Linked DNA regions of Stegostoma tigrinum. The protein of the gene in region 1 interacts with the protein of each later gene in a pairwise test. Links are inferred from orthologs where the notes say so. Each region holds a gene or a part of one and is shown on either strand. Other genes may lie near its edges.

Region 1 (7,187 bases):
CAGTGCTTGTCGATTGAATCTCCATTCCAATGTCATTTTTAGATGGGCTGGGGAAATATTCCATCTTTGAGATGATGTCTTTGTTACTCTTAATTGAAGGATGGACCAAAACTTGCCATCATGCAGCTTGGTAAACTGCACCACTATCAAAAGTAACAAAACGGAAGGTAACAGCCACAAGGATACTCAGTTGCTTTATGTGCAACAGTTGTGAACCTGTCTCTTAGTTATCTGTTCATGCACCACCAGAAGTGTGCCTTATGAAGACACCCCATTTGAATTGTTGTATCATCTTAGATGAAGGCATGCAGATGACAAACATGATCAGCGGGTATTCTGTAACAATCATTCCTTTCTGACTGTGAATAAAAGGGGAGCAGCATTGATAGCCAATCCCATTTGTTTTTAAAAAGTGTGATCAAGATAGATCCTGTGGACACCTAGCAACCTAATCAGATGTTAATGACACTTTGGGTCACCAAATCTTTTTAGAATGTTGACAACTTCACATGGGATGTCAAACCTTCGCATTCAAAAACAAAGCCTCTGAATTTTCTCAAAACACAGTCTTCAGCACTGCTGAAAACAGTAACTAGCCTGTTAGTTATACTGTTGCATTATCGCTTCCACATTCCCTTTTATTTTACCTACTTGAATATTGTTTCTGTATGATGGTCAGTTTGTCTATCTAGCTGGTAGTCCTTGTTATCATTCACATAAGCAACAAGTACTTTGGACCTCAGAGGTAGTAAGAACTGCCGATGCTGGAGTCAGAGATAACACAGTGTAGAGCTGCAGGAGCAATAAAGTATTTCTGGAGAAGGGTCCTGGCCCGAAACATCAACTTTCCTGCTCCTCTGTTGCTGCCTGGCCTGCTGTGCTCCTACAGCTCCTCACTGTTTTATCTCTGACTCCAGCATCGGCAGTTCTTAATATCTCTGAATGAGTTATAAAGTAATTTGGACCTGTTGGCCAAAGCTAAATTACAAGGTTCCTGTGTCCAGATTTCCAATACCAACCTGTCTTGGCCAACTCTAAGTTTCCTTAAACCTGAGGGATATGGCAGCAATCTTTTCCCTTCCAGATTCAATATCTGAAGCTTCGACAGCCCATCAACAACTCTGAGCTGTAGCTGTTTTCTGTAAAATTAAGTAAAAAAGAGCATCTACCTTTTTTTTACAAAAAGACCTCACTCATACCAAATTTCTGACTTTTACAAAACATTTAATTCTTTGGTTATATTCTTTGGTTACATTGTGTAACAGCATATATTGTCAACATTGTGACCTTAGGTTAAATATCTTAGCTCCAACTGCAAAGTAGATTTTCCACTGTAGTCATTTGCACCCTGTAAATGAGGACAATTTTAGTATGGAAGGGCAAAATGTGTGGGTGCAGACTTGGAGGGCCAAAAGGCCTGTTTCTGCGCTGTATTGTTCTTTGTTCTTTGTTCACTCTTGGCTGTCTGGAGGAATGCCAGGACTTTAGAAAGAAGGCCAATGACTTTTTCCACTCTGCCAACATTTTCTTTATAATACCTCAAACTCATTCTATTTGTGATACCATACCCACCCTCCACCAAGGCTCGTGTTCTCCCAATGTCACTCTGCCTGCAATCTCTGCCCTGTTCACCCACTATCACCTCACTTGTTTGGCACTGCATGTACAGACATTCATTTACTCCATTATTGATGTTCAGTAGGAGCAGTGTGTACCATCTGGAAGAATCACTGTGGAAATTTCCTTGGACAGTATCTTACAAAACCACAACTACCAACATTTAGAAGGATAAGGGCATCAAATACTTGGGGAGTAACACCACCTACCCAAGTCATTCTGCGTTTTCACAACATCTAGCTTATTTGGTAAATTAGGAAGCTGAATATTAGTTGAGCGAGTTGAGTTTAACAAGCAATAAATCCCACCCCACCCCACCCCAACCCCCGAAATAACAACTCACCACTACCTACGAAGAAAATTGCCACTTGTCAAAAGTATAAAAATGGGCAAGATGTTCTGGCCATCAAAATCGGCATCACCGGACTTCTTGTCTGATTCTGCCACAAATCTCAACATAGCCCACATCACTCAGACTCCTGCAAGATTTGATCCTTAACGTTAGATTAAATTTCAGCTTGATGGAATACTTATAGTGAGGTTGAATTTATCACCTGTTTACAAAGCATTCAGTTCCCCTGTCATTGCCTGTTACACAGGTCTATCGTTTTGGTCCAGTTTTAAAAGATTAGAGCAACAGGTATGCACATTGAACAAAAATATTCAATTAAGACTATAAGGGAGATTACTGTTATAGTTTTGTGTTACAGATGAACATCTACTGTAAGATGCTCAGACTACTTGATACAATGAGTACTGTTATATCTAGGCAAACCTCTAAAGCAGGAGCCTAACTTGTAACAATTCTTCGTAGGAATTTGATACATGAAAAATTGTCTATTATTGTCTATTTCTAGAAATGGAAAATGGTTTTTTGGTTGTAAAACTGCTTTTGACCTTGCCAAATTTTTTTTCAAGATTTTGTTAAGGATTAAAATTACAGGTAGCAGAGTTACAACTTAAGTATATAAATTGTTGCCATCAAAACTTTGCTGCAATTCTTCTCAAAGGTGTTAGAATTTCTGAGATTTTGAAGCATTATTCAAAATTATTTGAAGTTGTTGTTCAAGTTCTTTCAAATCACTTCATCTACTATAAAAAAATCTACAGAGTCATCATTTTAGAAGGCACTGTGCACAAGCTCCATGCATTGTTGTTTATCTCCTGTACTTTGCCAGCAGGGAAATAATTTGAGGAATTTAAAAAAAATTACAGTGGTGTTGTACCACTGTTTCACACCTACATATCAGACGCTTTGGTACCAATCACAAGACATTGTTTGGACTGTCTTTTCTATTAAGCATTTTTGTAAATTGGTTTTTCTTTTAGGAATGGCAACTGGCAAGCTTCTAACTTTAGCAAATTCTTTATATTTTGTATTTAATTTCTCAAATGCAGAATATGCATTATGCTATTGTTTTGCTTAAAAGGTTGTATGCTGGTGCATATAATTGTCTATATTTGATGATTTACTGTATTATGCTTGATCAATAAAGTTTCTCAATTCTGCTCAATTTTTTGAAGACATCTGAAGTAATTTTAGTCTACTTTGTCTGTTCTTATTAAGATTTAGTGTATTTGATCTAATTAAGATTGATTTGATGCATCTACCTTTTATTCATTTTGAATTGGATAGCCATCAATATCAATCATAATCTAAATATCAATCTAAGTACAGTACTTTCCAAGAAGGCACTTTTCTGTTCTGAACTGCTTCAGTATCTAAACTAGAAAGCTTTAGGGAGGAGATATCTTCATCAACCCATTTCAAGAATCGAGATAATTCGTGTGACTGGTTTAGTTTTGTATGTTTAGCAAACTGAATTACCCTGTTCAGTCTCATAGTCCACAAAACAATGACATTCACATTTTGTTCCCTTTCCCAGTATATATTTTGCGGATTTCGTGGTCATTCTCTAAACAGTATAACAGAAATTTTGATGTCACTTTTCTGGGGTTGGGCGTGTGCTCCAAATAAACTACTTTTAAGTTTTTTTTCCGTATATAATCAAGTCTGCAAATGACATGAAAAATGAGAATACCTCTGAAGAGAAACGATATTGATCCCCTTTGTTATATTTTGTGCTAAGGTGCGCGGGGAAGGAACAGCCTAATGTAGACAAAAGAAGCTCTAAGGTGGTGTCATGCACAAGCAATACGCGAGTCAAAATTCCACAAGTCTCAATGGGTGCGACATGAATATATGTGAATAGTTAAAACCTAGCAGCTACTTTTCATTCCCAAGTCGAGAGACGTGGGATGTTAAATAAAACATGATCACTCAGACATCGGCCAGGCATATGAATACAGATCAGATATAGGTTCTAAATAATTCATTGTAGGGACAAATTTTTGCAGCGACTGCAGGGTATAACATTTGTGACATTTTAGAAATAGTCACAACTTTCAATGTTCAAATATATATATTTAAACTTGGAAAGGTGGTAATCTTTTTGATTAACTTCTGGTACATAAGTATTTACGTTCAGCTGTAGTCAGAATGATTCCCATCAGCCACTTCAATCTTTAAGTTCATCCTCCCACAGCTGACGTCAGGGTAGAAACATTGAACCAAACAAGCCATTTTCACATGCGTACAGGCTTCAGAGTGAGAGGTGGAGAGGAGCTGTGAAAACAGTTGCACAAAGAGACCAAGTTCTTTAAAAAAAAATCTGGGACCTTTTCGCAATCCATCCATCCGCCCATTCACTATGGCAAGCAATCCTTTCGTTCAGCCGTTTGCAAAGGGACAGTGGGGAGAGGACGAGGAGCCAGAGCAGACAGATCGTGGTATTGGTGCCAGTCCGCAGGCGGGGGCGGCTGTTGGTGGGGGGGATGCAGCTGCAGCAGCCGAGAGCTGGCGAGCCGGGGTGGAGCAGCCCCTTGTGCCAGACTCTAGGGGTCAGCCTGTTACCAAGGCAACTGCATCCGCAGGTAAGGTGGGGCGGGTGGACCGACTGCAGATATGTTTGGAAGTCGGATTATGCATAAGATACGATCGTTTACTCAATTCACAAAGATTTTTTAAAAGGTCGATCATGTCGCTTTTGAATACAGCGACCGGTTAAATAGCATTTCATTAATGTTTGAAATGTCAGCTTTTGAAATTATGGACACACCGTTATGGACACACCGAATATAATCTTTATGTATTTTTAATGCTGCAGACGCATTTTTGCCCTGTCTGATAGAAATTGGCACAATTCACTGGATTCTTTGTTAAAAATGTTGGCATTAATCCTGAGGCAGATTGTTAGAACAGGGTGAAGTCAGCTTAATTCCAGTTTGAAACAAGTTTTTAAGTTATGACATCTGACGAATTTTTGTGGTATTAATGGCACCCTTTAAATCAGTTAACTATTGGGATTTTGTTTTCTAGATGCAGATTGTGTTTTAAACTTAACCATGAGTTGAATTAAGCCAGTGGTGTAGTGATATGCCTAGTAATCCAGAACCCCAGGCTAATGTTCTGGGCACATGGTTTTAGCATCTCACCATGGCAGATGATGAAATTTCAATTCAATAAAATTCTGGAATAAAAGGCCCTCTGGTTCACTAGTGTCATTTGCAGATATTATGTTAACAGCTGTCCTCATCTGGTCTGGTCAAAATCTGACTGCATAGCAGTTGTTTGACTCTTGTTGGATGGGCAATCAATATGAAGTCAAATTAGTATAAAGTTCTCAGACTCACAAGAAGATAGTACAGAAGGAGATCATTCAGCCCATCATGCTTTACCAGTTTTATTATCATGTTTTAATTTCTTGCCTTTTCCCCAGATCTTGCACCTCATTGTTACCTGAAAATACATTCAGTGTCCCCTTGAATGCCTCAGTTGAATCTGCCTTCACCATGTTTCCAGTCAATGCATTCCTTAAGAGTGAACAAGTTCCTTTTTCTCTCACATCAACCTCACTCTGTTTGCACATATCTTTATATCTATAAATTTTCCTCTCAATCCTGTTTCTACTACAAGTGGAAACAACTTCACTCTACTTATTCTTCAAGCCCACTCATGAAAACCACAATGGGATCTCCGCTCAACTGCCTTCTCCACAGGGAGAACAGACACAACCTCTTCTATCAATTGTTGTAGCTGAAGCATTTCATTCCTGGAACTATTCTTTGTAAATTGCTTCTGCTGTCTCACAATGCCTTCCATTTTTCCTATAATGTGGCAGCCACAACTGTGTGCATTACACCAGCTGTGGTCTAACAAATGTCTTATACAAGTTCAACATCACCTCCCTGGTCTTGTATTCCATGCCCTATGAATAAAACTGAGAATACTATGCTATATTCTTCTTCACATGTCGTGCCACATTCAAAGATCTGTGCACATTTACATCCAGATCTCTATACCCTGGTACCCTCCTTGTGCCCTCTATATTGTCTTTGTGTTCTTCTGACCAAAATTCAGGACCATGTGTTTTTCTGCATTGAACCTACCTGCCCACTCCAACAACTTGCCAATGTTCGTTTGGAGTTCCACAATATTCTCCTCACAGTTTACAGTTCTTCAAAGTTTAATGCCATCTGCAAACTTTGAAATTATCCTCTGCATACCAAGTACCAGATCATTTTATTTATATATATATATATATAAATGCACTTTATAAAAATTCTGCTGGGTCAAAATACTGGAATTCTCTCCCCAAGGACATTGTGGGTCTACCTACAACACACAAACTGATGCTGCTCAAGAAGGCAGCTCGTCCCCACCTTCTTGGGAGCAACTCAGGACACGCAGTAAATGCTGGCCAGCTAGTGATTTCTATGTCCCAAGAATGATTTTAAAAAAATGTATTTAACATGTACTGGTTATTGGAGGTTGGTTAATTGAAATTAATTGTTGCTTTGAACATGACATTTTGGCTGTGTAGGATTTGTGAGTAAAAATGCAATATAGGCTATTTATAAAATTAAAGAACCAGTTCATTTAGTGGGGAAGTCTTTGTTAGTTATTTAGAAAAAGAAATGAATATTTGACATGTCAGATGAATCCCACATGGTGATCCTGAATGCAGGCATCTAAAATATTCATTGTTCTCAAAATGTCACTTTCTGTTTTTGATTGTATGGCTCAGTAGCAAAACAAACTGAAGTTGGCACCAAATGTGTATACTTCAGCATTTTAAAGTAAGTGCATTTTATAAATTAGTAAGTTATGATCAATGTAATTTCAGAAGAAAGTGATCACGTCACATTGGCTTTAATTTGGGGAACTGAAATTCGAGGTTAATTTTCCAAATCTAGCTTGGAAAGCCTGAAAATATAGTGTCTCTTGACTTCTAAAATAAATGTGGCATAGTCACAAGCACAAGCTATTTTATTAAATTTAAAATTTAGAGAAACACCTGCAAACAATTGAAAATAAAGAGTAGAAAGCAGTCAATTGCTCATTAGAGTATGTGGTAATCCCCAAGGATTATTGCAACCCAATTTTTGAAATCCATGTTAAGTTTTAGATTCGGAATATTGGAGCAAATTACTCAAACTTGTAGATTATACCAACCTAGGAGTACCAGCAGAGGAGGCAATTCAAAAAATGCAACAATGGAACAGTGACA
Region 2 (7,875 bases), on another chromosome or scaffold:
TCCATTCAAGATACTTTTCTAAATCCACATACTGAAGGACCAATTAAGGAACAGATTATTTAAAATGCAGAACCATGAAATGACATAGGATCAATTACTTACTGTGTAGTAAAATGACTTATGGGGATGAATGATCATAAAATGGCTTAATTTTATGTTGGTTTTGCAAGTGACTTAACTAAGTACAAAACCAGGGTCTTAAATCTGAACAAACAAATTATGCATCTATGGGAAGTGAGTTGGCTCAGGGGGAAATTAAATTAAAAGCTGATGGCAAATAATCAACATTAACAAATGTCACAAAACTATATTCTGTGTTGCACAGCATCATGTTTGAGAAGAAATAACAACATGTAATCGATCCATTATCAATAATCAGGATTCATGAGTAACTTGGTGTGGGTACATCTGTTTTCTTCAAAAGTTTTACTGGCAGCTTGAGAAAAGCAACAATAACTGATGCAGCAAACATCCTGTGAATTATCCTCATGACATTTATTCTTTAAAGAATGCAATGGAATATATACTTCATGCGTGGCCCAATCAAAGTAAATATTGGCTGATGTCTTTTGCTTGATACCCACTCCTTTAAGATCATCTATAATGCTAGCAGCTTTGATTTTAACCAAATCCCTTTATATTTTCTTCTTTCACTTGGTGTAGTTCTTTCTCTCAGTGTAGTTCTTTCTGGTCCTTGATACTTTCCTGACCATATTCTATATTAATGAAAATGTAATTACAGAAGTATAGGGAGCAATATGTCTTCATTAGTTGTAACATTTCAATAACTTTTATTACTCTTTGACTGTGTACTAATTATGACTTTAATGCAGTTTATGTGCAGAATTTTGAGGTGAAAAGATAAATCTGTATGGGAAAGTACAAACTGATCATACATGGTTAATAAAATGGAAATAGATGCTACTAAATGAATAAAATTACTGTTTGGTATTTGATTTTATTCTTATAGTATTAGTACCTTTCCTCAAGCATAAGGACACTAATCCATCTCCACATACAGTATGATACATGAGTGTGTACTGGAGAAAAATAGAAGTTCGGACACTGAAGGAGACCATTCAGCCCAATATGTGCCAGTCAAGTTCCCAGTCTTAATCACACTTTCTAGCTGGTGGCCCACAGTTCTGTAGTTATGACACATCAAATGCATACTTTTAATGTACAGTTATGGTGTTTGCCTCCACCAACCTAAAGGGAAATATGCTATAAACCTTCATCACCCTCTGGTCAAAGAAGAGTCTCAACTCCCTTCTAGTTCTTTTACCAATTAAACCTATGTCCCAGAAATAGCTGCACAGAGGTCAGTATCCTGGCACCAAATCACTCTTTATTTACATGTGCATAGTTCATGGACTCTGACCAGCCAGCTCAGACTCAGTCCTAGAACAATGAGATGCTCTGAATCTGCTGTTTATATCTGTCAACCAGGCCTCCCTGATTGGCCCAGGTTAACAGCCCCAATTAAGGATCTCATAGACAAAGAGAACCACGTGGCCCTCGTTCCAGTCGCTACAGTGCCCTTGTTTATTGATCTATCTGTAAAGGTCAATAGTTCCTTACAATTATGTATGCCTCTGTTGAATCTTTTGTGAGTGTCCACTCTTCCAAAGGAAACAACTTCAATCCATCATTATTTTCTTCATAACTAAAATTCTGTATTATCATCATTAACATCATTATTAATCCTGTCTAAAGAGGGGTCGCTGGATTTGAAAGGTTAATTTTGTTTTCTTTCCATAAACGCACCAGACCTGCAGAGCTCCACCAGCAATTTCTGATTTTATTTTCAGATTTCCAGCTATTGCAACTCTTGGGTTTCTGTTTTTGTTGTTAATCTATGTCTATATCCTTTCTAGTGCAATCATACCCATGCTGTGATGTGAATTCCATATGCAGCACTCTAATGCAGATAAACTAATATTTTATACAGTTATAGCAGCAATGCTCGCTGTGAAATGTTTCGATTTACTGAGATGTATGCAATTGGTTTCTCTTCTGTCTTGTATTGTGAGCAGTTCTGCTGCAGCTGCATTAGCTCTAGGAGTTTACCAAAAGGTTAAACTTCAGCCGAAGCATCAGATGTGCCTTCTGCTATCACTCATGTATGGGATTTGGGCATTTCTCAAGAAATTTCAGATGCAACTGCTATCCAACAAGGCTTTTTGGTGTTGTGATGTTACCAGTTGCTATGGACGCAAATTTATCATGAGCCCATGAGAAATAGTCTTTGCGTGCCAATGTCAGTGCTGGAAATGGCTGTGCACCTCTTGGAATAAAAATTAATTTGCGTGCCCAGAAGCTAGTAATTTTGATAAGAAGATCTACTTAGCTTATAGCTGAACTAAATTCCTTCCTATTTTAAATCCTGATTCCATTGCTCAAAGGCAGATTTCTCTACAAGTTGATCAAGAAACTGATTACTTTGCTAAACGATAGATCCCTTAATCCTGAGGAGCTGATCCCATAATACTGAGCAACAGAACCCAATGCTAACTTATATCCAGATCTTATTTGAACAGCTGATTACCCTTCGCAACTAAACCTTAAATGCTAAGATGATTCCTTTGATCAACTAATTGTTTTTGCTAAGATAGACCTATTTTACAGGGAAACGGTTCCTTTTTAATCATAATACTCAGGCAAGTCTGGCAGCATTTGTGACGAAGTAGGTAAAGACTTCACAGCTGATGCGAGAAATGTTTTTTTTCCCAGTTTTTTAAATTTCAGAATTCCAGCATCTGTAGTATTTTGCTTTTATTTTCCTTTTCCTAAACAAACCTAATGTCTCCATCCTTTTGTTAAGAAAATTATAATTCATAGAATCACTGACTGTTTTAACTGGTAAGGAGTGATGATTGAGTGTTCCCTCAGGTAACCTCCCCCCCTCCCTGCCTCATCTGTTTCATAAATTGAACCAAAAGCAAAATGATGCAGATGCTGGAAATCTGAAATAACCAAAAAAAATGCTGGAGGCCAGGTGAAAGCTGTGGGGGAAGAAACAGAATTGTTCAAGTCAATCATCTTCTGTAAAGAAAAAATGAATGTAGGTTTTAAAAAAATGGAAGTTGTAAGAAAACAAAAGTGAGAGTTTATGATGACTTCAGTAAGGGTGTTTAAAATGAATAAAATAAGGTCTCTAGAAAATGAATAGCAGAATAATTAACAGCTGCTAATTGAAACCAAATAAAAGTAAAATGCTAGAAAAACTCAGTACGTCTGACAGTGCCTATGGAGAAAGAAACAGAATTAATATCATTTCAGAGATAGTAGGATGCCAATGCTGGACAATCTGAGAAAACAAGGTGTAGAGCTCGATAAACACAGCAGGCCAAGCATCATCATTGGAGCAGGAAAGCTGGCGTTTCAGGTCTGGCCCCTTCTTCAGAGGGTCCAGATCCAAAACATCAGCTTTCCTGCTCCTCTGATGCTGCTTGGCCTGCTGTGTTCATCCAGCTATACACCTTGTTATCTCAGAAATAATATTGTATTTGTTTCAAAACTGAGTGTGACATGACTCATCTCTACCCACAGATGCTTCCAGACCTTCTGGGTTTCGTTAGCATTTATTTTCCAAATTTCAGCATTCATAGTACTTTGTTTTTACCAAAGATTAAAAAAAATTTAGAGACTTGTGTCACAGTGATAGTATCCACACCTCCAAATCATGAAGCTTAGGTTCAAGTCTCACCAGCTCCCAAAGCGCATAACAACATTTGAGCAGGTTGATTAGAAAATACCTAAAGAATACTTAAACCAAAACCTGCAAAGAAAAGTTAAACTAAATGCAGTAGTTCTAACATTTTATGATGTTATCATTAGGGACATTACATTCCTTCAGTGTATGAGTGACTATCAAAGGAGTAAGGTCTGGTTCTGCGAGAGATAATGGGAACTGCAGATGCTGGAGAATCTGAGATAACAAAGTGTGGAGCTGGATGAATGCAGCAGGCCAAGCAGCATCTTAGGAGCACATGTTATAGCATCTTTAAGGTGCCTTAAAGGACAGGGTTTTTAAGAGTCCCTCCTCAGCTGATGGAAATCATCAGAGTCTCCCGAAATGAGATTACCTGAAAAGCATGGGCTTTGTGAGGGTTCCTTGGAGCTGTCTGCCAGGGTCACTTAGACGCCAGGTTTTGTACAAATCCCTCAGAAGGTGAATTCTGAGGATTTCCTAGGTTGGGCAGACAGTGAGTTCTGAGAGGGACATCCTCAGTGGTGATGTGTGAAGCATTCCCCAATAGGACAGGGTCTCTGAGGGAAACACTCAGGAGGTATGGTTTGTAAGGGAATCCTCCATGGGTGGAGTCTTTGTGGGACTCCCACCAGGGCAGGGTCTGTAAGGGACTCCATCAGCAGGTAGAGTGAGGTACACCTTCCAGGACAAGGTCTATAAGGGATTCCTGCAGAAGGTGGAGTCTTTGGGATTAGGTCTGTGATGGGTGCTCTCAGGGGTCAGGGTCTGAGGGACCCCGTTGAAGGGAGGCAGAGTCTGAAAGGTACTCCTTCGGAATGACAGGTCTGTGAGGGATCCCTTAGGCGAAGGATGAGTCTGTTACAGCCTCCTTCATAGAGTTGAGTCTGAGGCACACGCTCCAGGGCAGACTTGTGAAGACTTGTTTAGAGTTGGAATCTGTGAGAGACTCCCTCAGGAGCTGGCGTCTGTGAGGGATTCTCTAAGGTGGGAGCAGAATCTGTGAACAAGTCCCTAAAGAACTGGCGTCTAAGAGGGCTCCTTCCGGTTGTGGTTCCGGCTGGGGTGTTGTGAGCGGAGGGGTCTCAGGCAGAGGGGGCGGAGTCTGGACTTCGGCCTTTTGGGGGAGGGGCTGACCGGACCGAAGGGGCGGATCCTGCGACTGAGTCAGAGCCGCGCTGGGACTGAGGGAGACGGAGTGTGACCGGGGAGAGGAACTGTTCAGAGTGAGTCACCGTCCCGGGAGAGAGACGTGGGCCGGCGGGGTACAGTGGAATGGCGGTGCTGGAACTTGCTCTGCAGGGTCTCTCCGTTTTCGGCCTGATCCTGTTTGTCATCCTGTGGTTGATGCACTTCATGTCCATCGTCTACGGGTAAGAAGAGGGGGAATTGGGGTGGGAGTTTCTGTTTGTGGGCAGGACGGGGTCATTTATCCCTTATCTCTCACCATTTGCCAGTAGGTTAGGGTTAGTTTAACTGTTGAGGACTCAGCGCGAGTCCGGCCTGACGGCCTCGACCGCTCAGCTTTTATAATGAAACATTTTAACTTTATTTTCGATGTCTGACTGAATCGGGGCCTACTGCGCATCAGGGTTAGCTTGGGCCTTGTATTTATTTTAATATGTCCCCCAATCCTACACCCCCTTGGGTGGGAGGGGATTCTGTTTAATTATATCCTATTTGTTTCTCTTAATGCCGATCTCTCCCTTTGATGTGAAACGAGTTCTCGATTGTCCTTGGTTTTTTATCGTAACAAAAAAGCCCATTCCCTTCTGTTCTATTTTGCTTAAAAAATCTTTTGAAATCTTATCACTTAATTATTTAAACACATCGATAATTGAAATAGACAAGTGTATGTTTCACGTTCTCTTCTCAATTACACTTCATTTTTTTTCGAAATAGGGTAGACGAAATGTATCATCTAGGTTTCTGAAAATCAAACAGAATATTTAAAAAGTGTAATTAATTTCAGCATGGGTTAAAATAAAACCTCAATAATAAAAGCATAGTCCTGGTGATGGTGTGCGAAACCCTTTTAGCCGAAAAGAGATACAGCCCTGTGTCATAAACTGTATTAAAATACGTCTTTGCGTGTAGTAATATTATGATGGCAATGATGCAAACTCTTCTTCCCTCCCCCACCCCAGCCCCATCATAAAGCAGTTTTTACCTTTGTTTCTTTCCATCATCGTCAGCGCCTTTTAGGAAACAGTATTGATCTTTTTCTTGTTTGTAAGTGATTTGACGAAAGATAAAATAGCATTGTTTTAACAAGTATTGATGGAGGGTGGTTTGTTCATGTGGCCCAAAAGGATACAATTCAGGAAATCCTTTCCTCTGGCAATGGAAATAGCATGTCTAGCACTGTGCTTAACAATGTGAAATGTATTTTTGTAAACTCTCCCAGTCTGGTGATGAGAAATGGGTCTTTACTTGGGGAGAAACAATTAGTCTGTAAACATGCCCTTTTTTAAAAAAACATGATGTGCTTTAAATCACCACTAAAGTCCTATTCTGTAGGAAAATGAGAAGGCAAAATAATTTTGGGCAGCAATTTTCTTGGTGTGCAGTATAGGTGCTCAGGACATTTGTGTTCAAATCCCAATCTGTGATGAAGGACCTAATCTTTATCAGAATGGCATTATGGAACTGAGTGCATCTTTAACGGAAGGAAAATTGCGTAGCGTTTCGGCTTCTGATTTTGTTATCAAGTAAACTGTATTGAAAGTAAGTTTTTGGATATTGATCTGCAGCGATGCACCACAGTTGAATAATTTGACTTTCGACATGCAGGTGTGGTAAGTGAGGGCTCATGGGGTTGGCACTGTAAAAAGTTGCTGCCCATTAGCAGGGAAGGAATTTCACTGGAAAGGGGTATAATTGGAAACTCAAGAGGACATGCCCTTTTACCTCATTGCTGATTTCATGCCTACTTCCCAGTGTCCTATAATGCATTCAGCCTCTTGATATTCTGGAATTTGCCCCATTTACATTAGTGATGTTTAGGACAACCAAGTACAAAACAAAATATATGGCAGTTGAAATATCACAACAATCCCTTTAATCCTTCTGGCCATATTACTCCCCTATGGTTCCCTTAGGGATAGAAAAACTACAGTTACTATTTATTCTTCACTGGTAGGGCTATCTCAAACCAGCTGTTAATCTAGTAGCCTGCCCGAAGCTTGTGCATGGCCTCTGCTTCTTGCAGAGCTGTCACTGAAGGTTGAGCTTCACTAATAGAAGAACACTGATAGAGTTGCAGTCGTGGCTTTTGTGTGTCATAGTCTGTGTGTAAATGTGTTAATATTGTGAAAGTACTGCTAATGTTATATCTTGTTCATGGAATTTGTTTATTGAAGTGCACTGCACCACCTGCCAACTGATGCTGTAAATTTTGGTCAAATGAGATTTGTTAACTCTTTTTTTCAGTTATCAAATAGTCTTTTGCAACAACTCTCGTTTTTCAAAATATACTTTGCTCACAAAATAGCTAAAAGCACAATTCAATTTAGGCATTACAGAAGTGCAATGTTATTCCAGTTTTCTCCATTGAGTATGTTGCACTGTTGGGCATCTCAGTACGGTTGCAATACATGTTACACATTCATTCAGTGCCAAACATGAAGCCTGAAGGATTCTCTATGTATTATTTGCCCCTCGATGCCTAATGGCTGAAAGTTTTTGATCTGTGGCCTTTTGTCACTGTGGCTTTGCGGTGGCGCATCTATCTATTCCTTTTATATGTTCCTTTGTAAACTTTCAGTTGCAACTTTGCTAGTCACGTGAATTCAGCTGATCCTTAACCATTTGTTAGTCCACATAACTGTGGCTGTAGTGCACTAAATCACTAATTTGAAGGGAATTTTCTACAAGGATTTAACCTTTTTAAACTAAAGTTGAATGAATAGTTTTATAAAGTTGCATTGAGACATTTTGCAGCCTGTGTGACCAAATACATAGTTTAATGTGCCATATCATGGTAACAAATTTCCCCTTCCCCATTCTCTTTCAAATGTCCCTCAAAACTACATTTTTGGGATTTTAAAAAATGGACGTTGCACTTACTGAAGTTTCCTGTTTTAGAAACTGTGACCTGATTTACAGAAAGTTTCCAAGGTTTCTGTGGCTAAAAGTCACTCTCCTCAAGTCCTTAGCTTCAT

Evidence for each region.
Region 2: the proteins of rtn1a (region 1) and ugcg interact in a two-hybrid assay, tested with the Homo sapiens proteins (2 studies listed by BioGRID and IntAct). The link is inferred for Stegostoma tigrinum from reciprocal best matches to the Homo sapiens genes RTN1 and UGCG.

Annotation. Positions count from the first base shown.
Region 1 is NC_081363.1:31,103,735-31,110,921, forward strand, and holds the start of rtn1a (reticulon-1a), read left to right. Parts: upstream 1-4,168; 5' UTR 4,169-4,328; coding exon 4,329-4,551; intron 4,552-7,187. UniProt on the Homo sapiens protein: Inhibits amyloid precursor protein processing, probably by blocking BACE1 activity.
Region 2 is NC_081356.1:31,642,854-31,650,728, forward strand, and holds the start of ugcg (ceramide glucosyltransferase), read left to right. Parts: upstream 1-4,860; 5' UTR 4,861-4,987; coding exon 4,988-5,085; intron 5,086-7,875. UniProt on the Homo sapiens protein: Participates in the initial step of the glucosylceramide-based glycosphingolipid/GSL synthetic pathway at the cytosolic surface of the Golgi.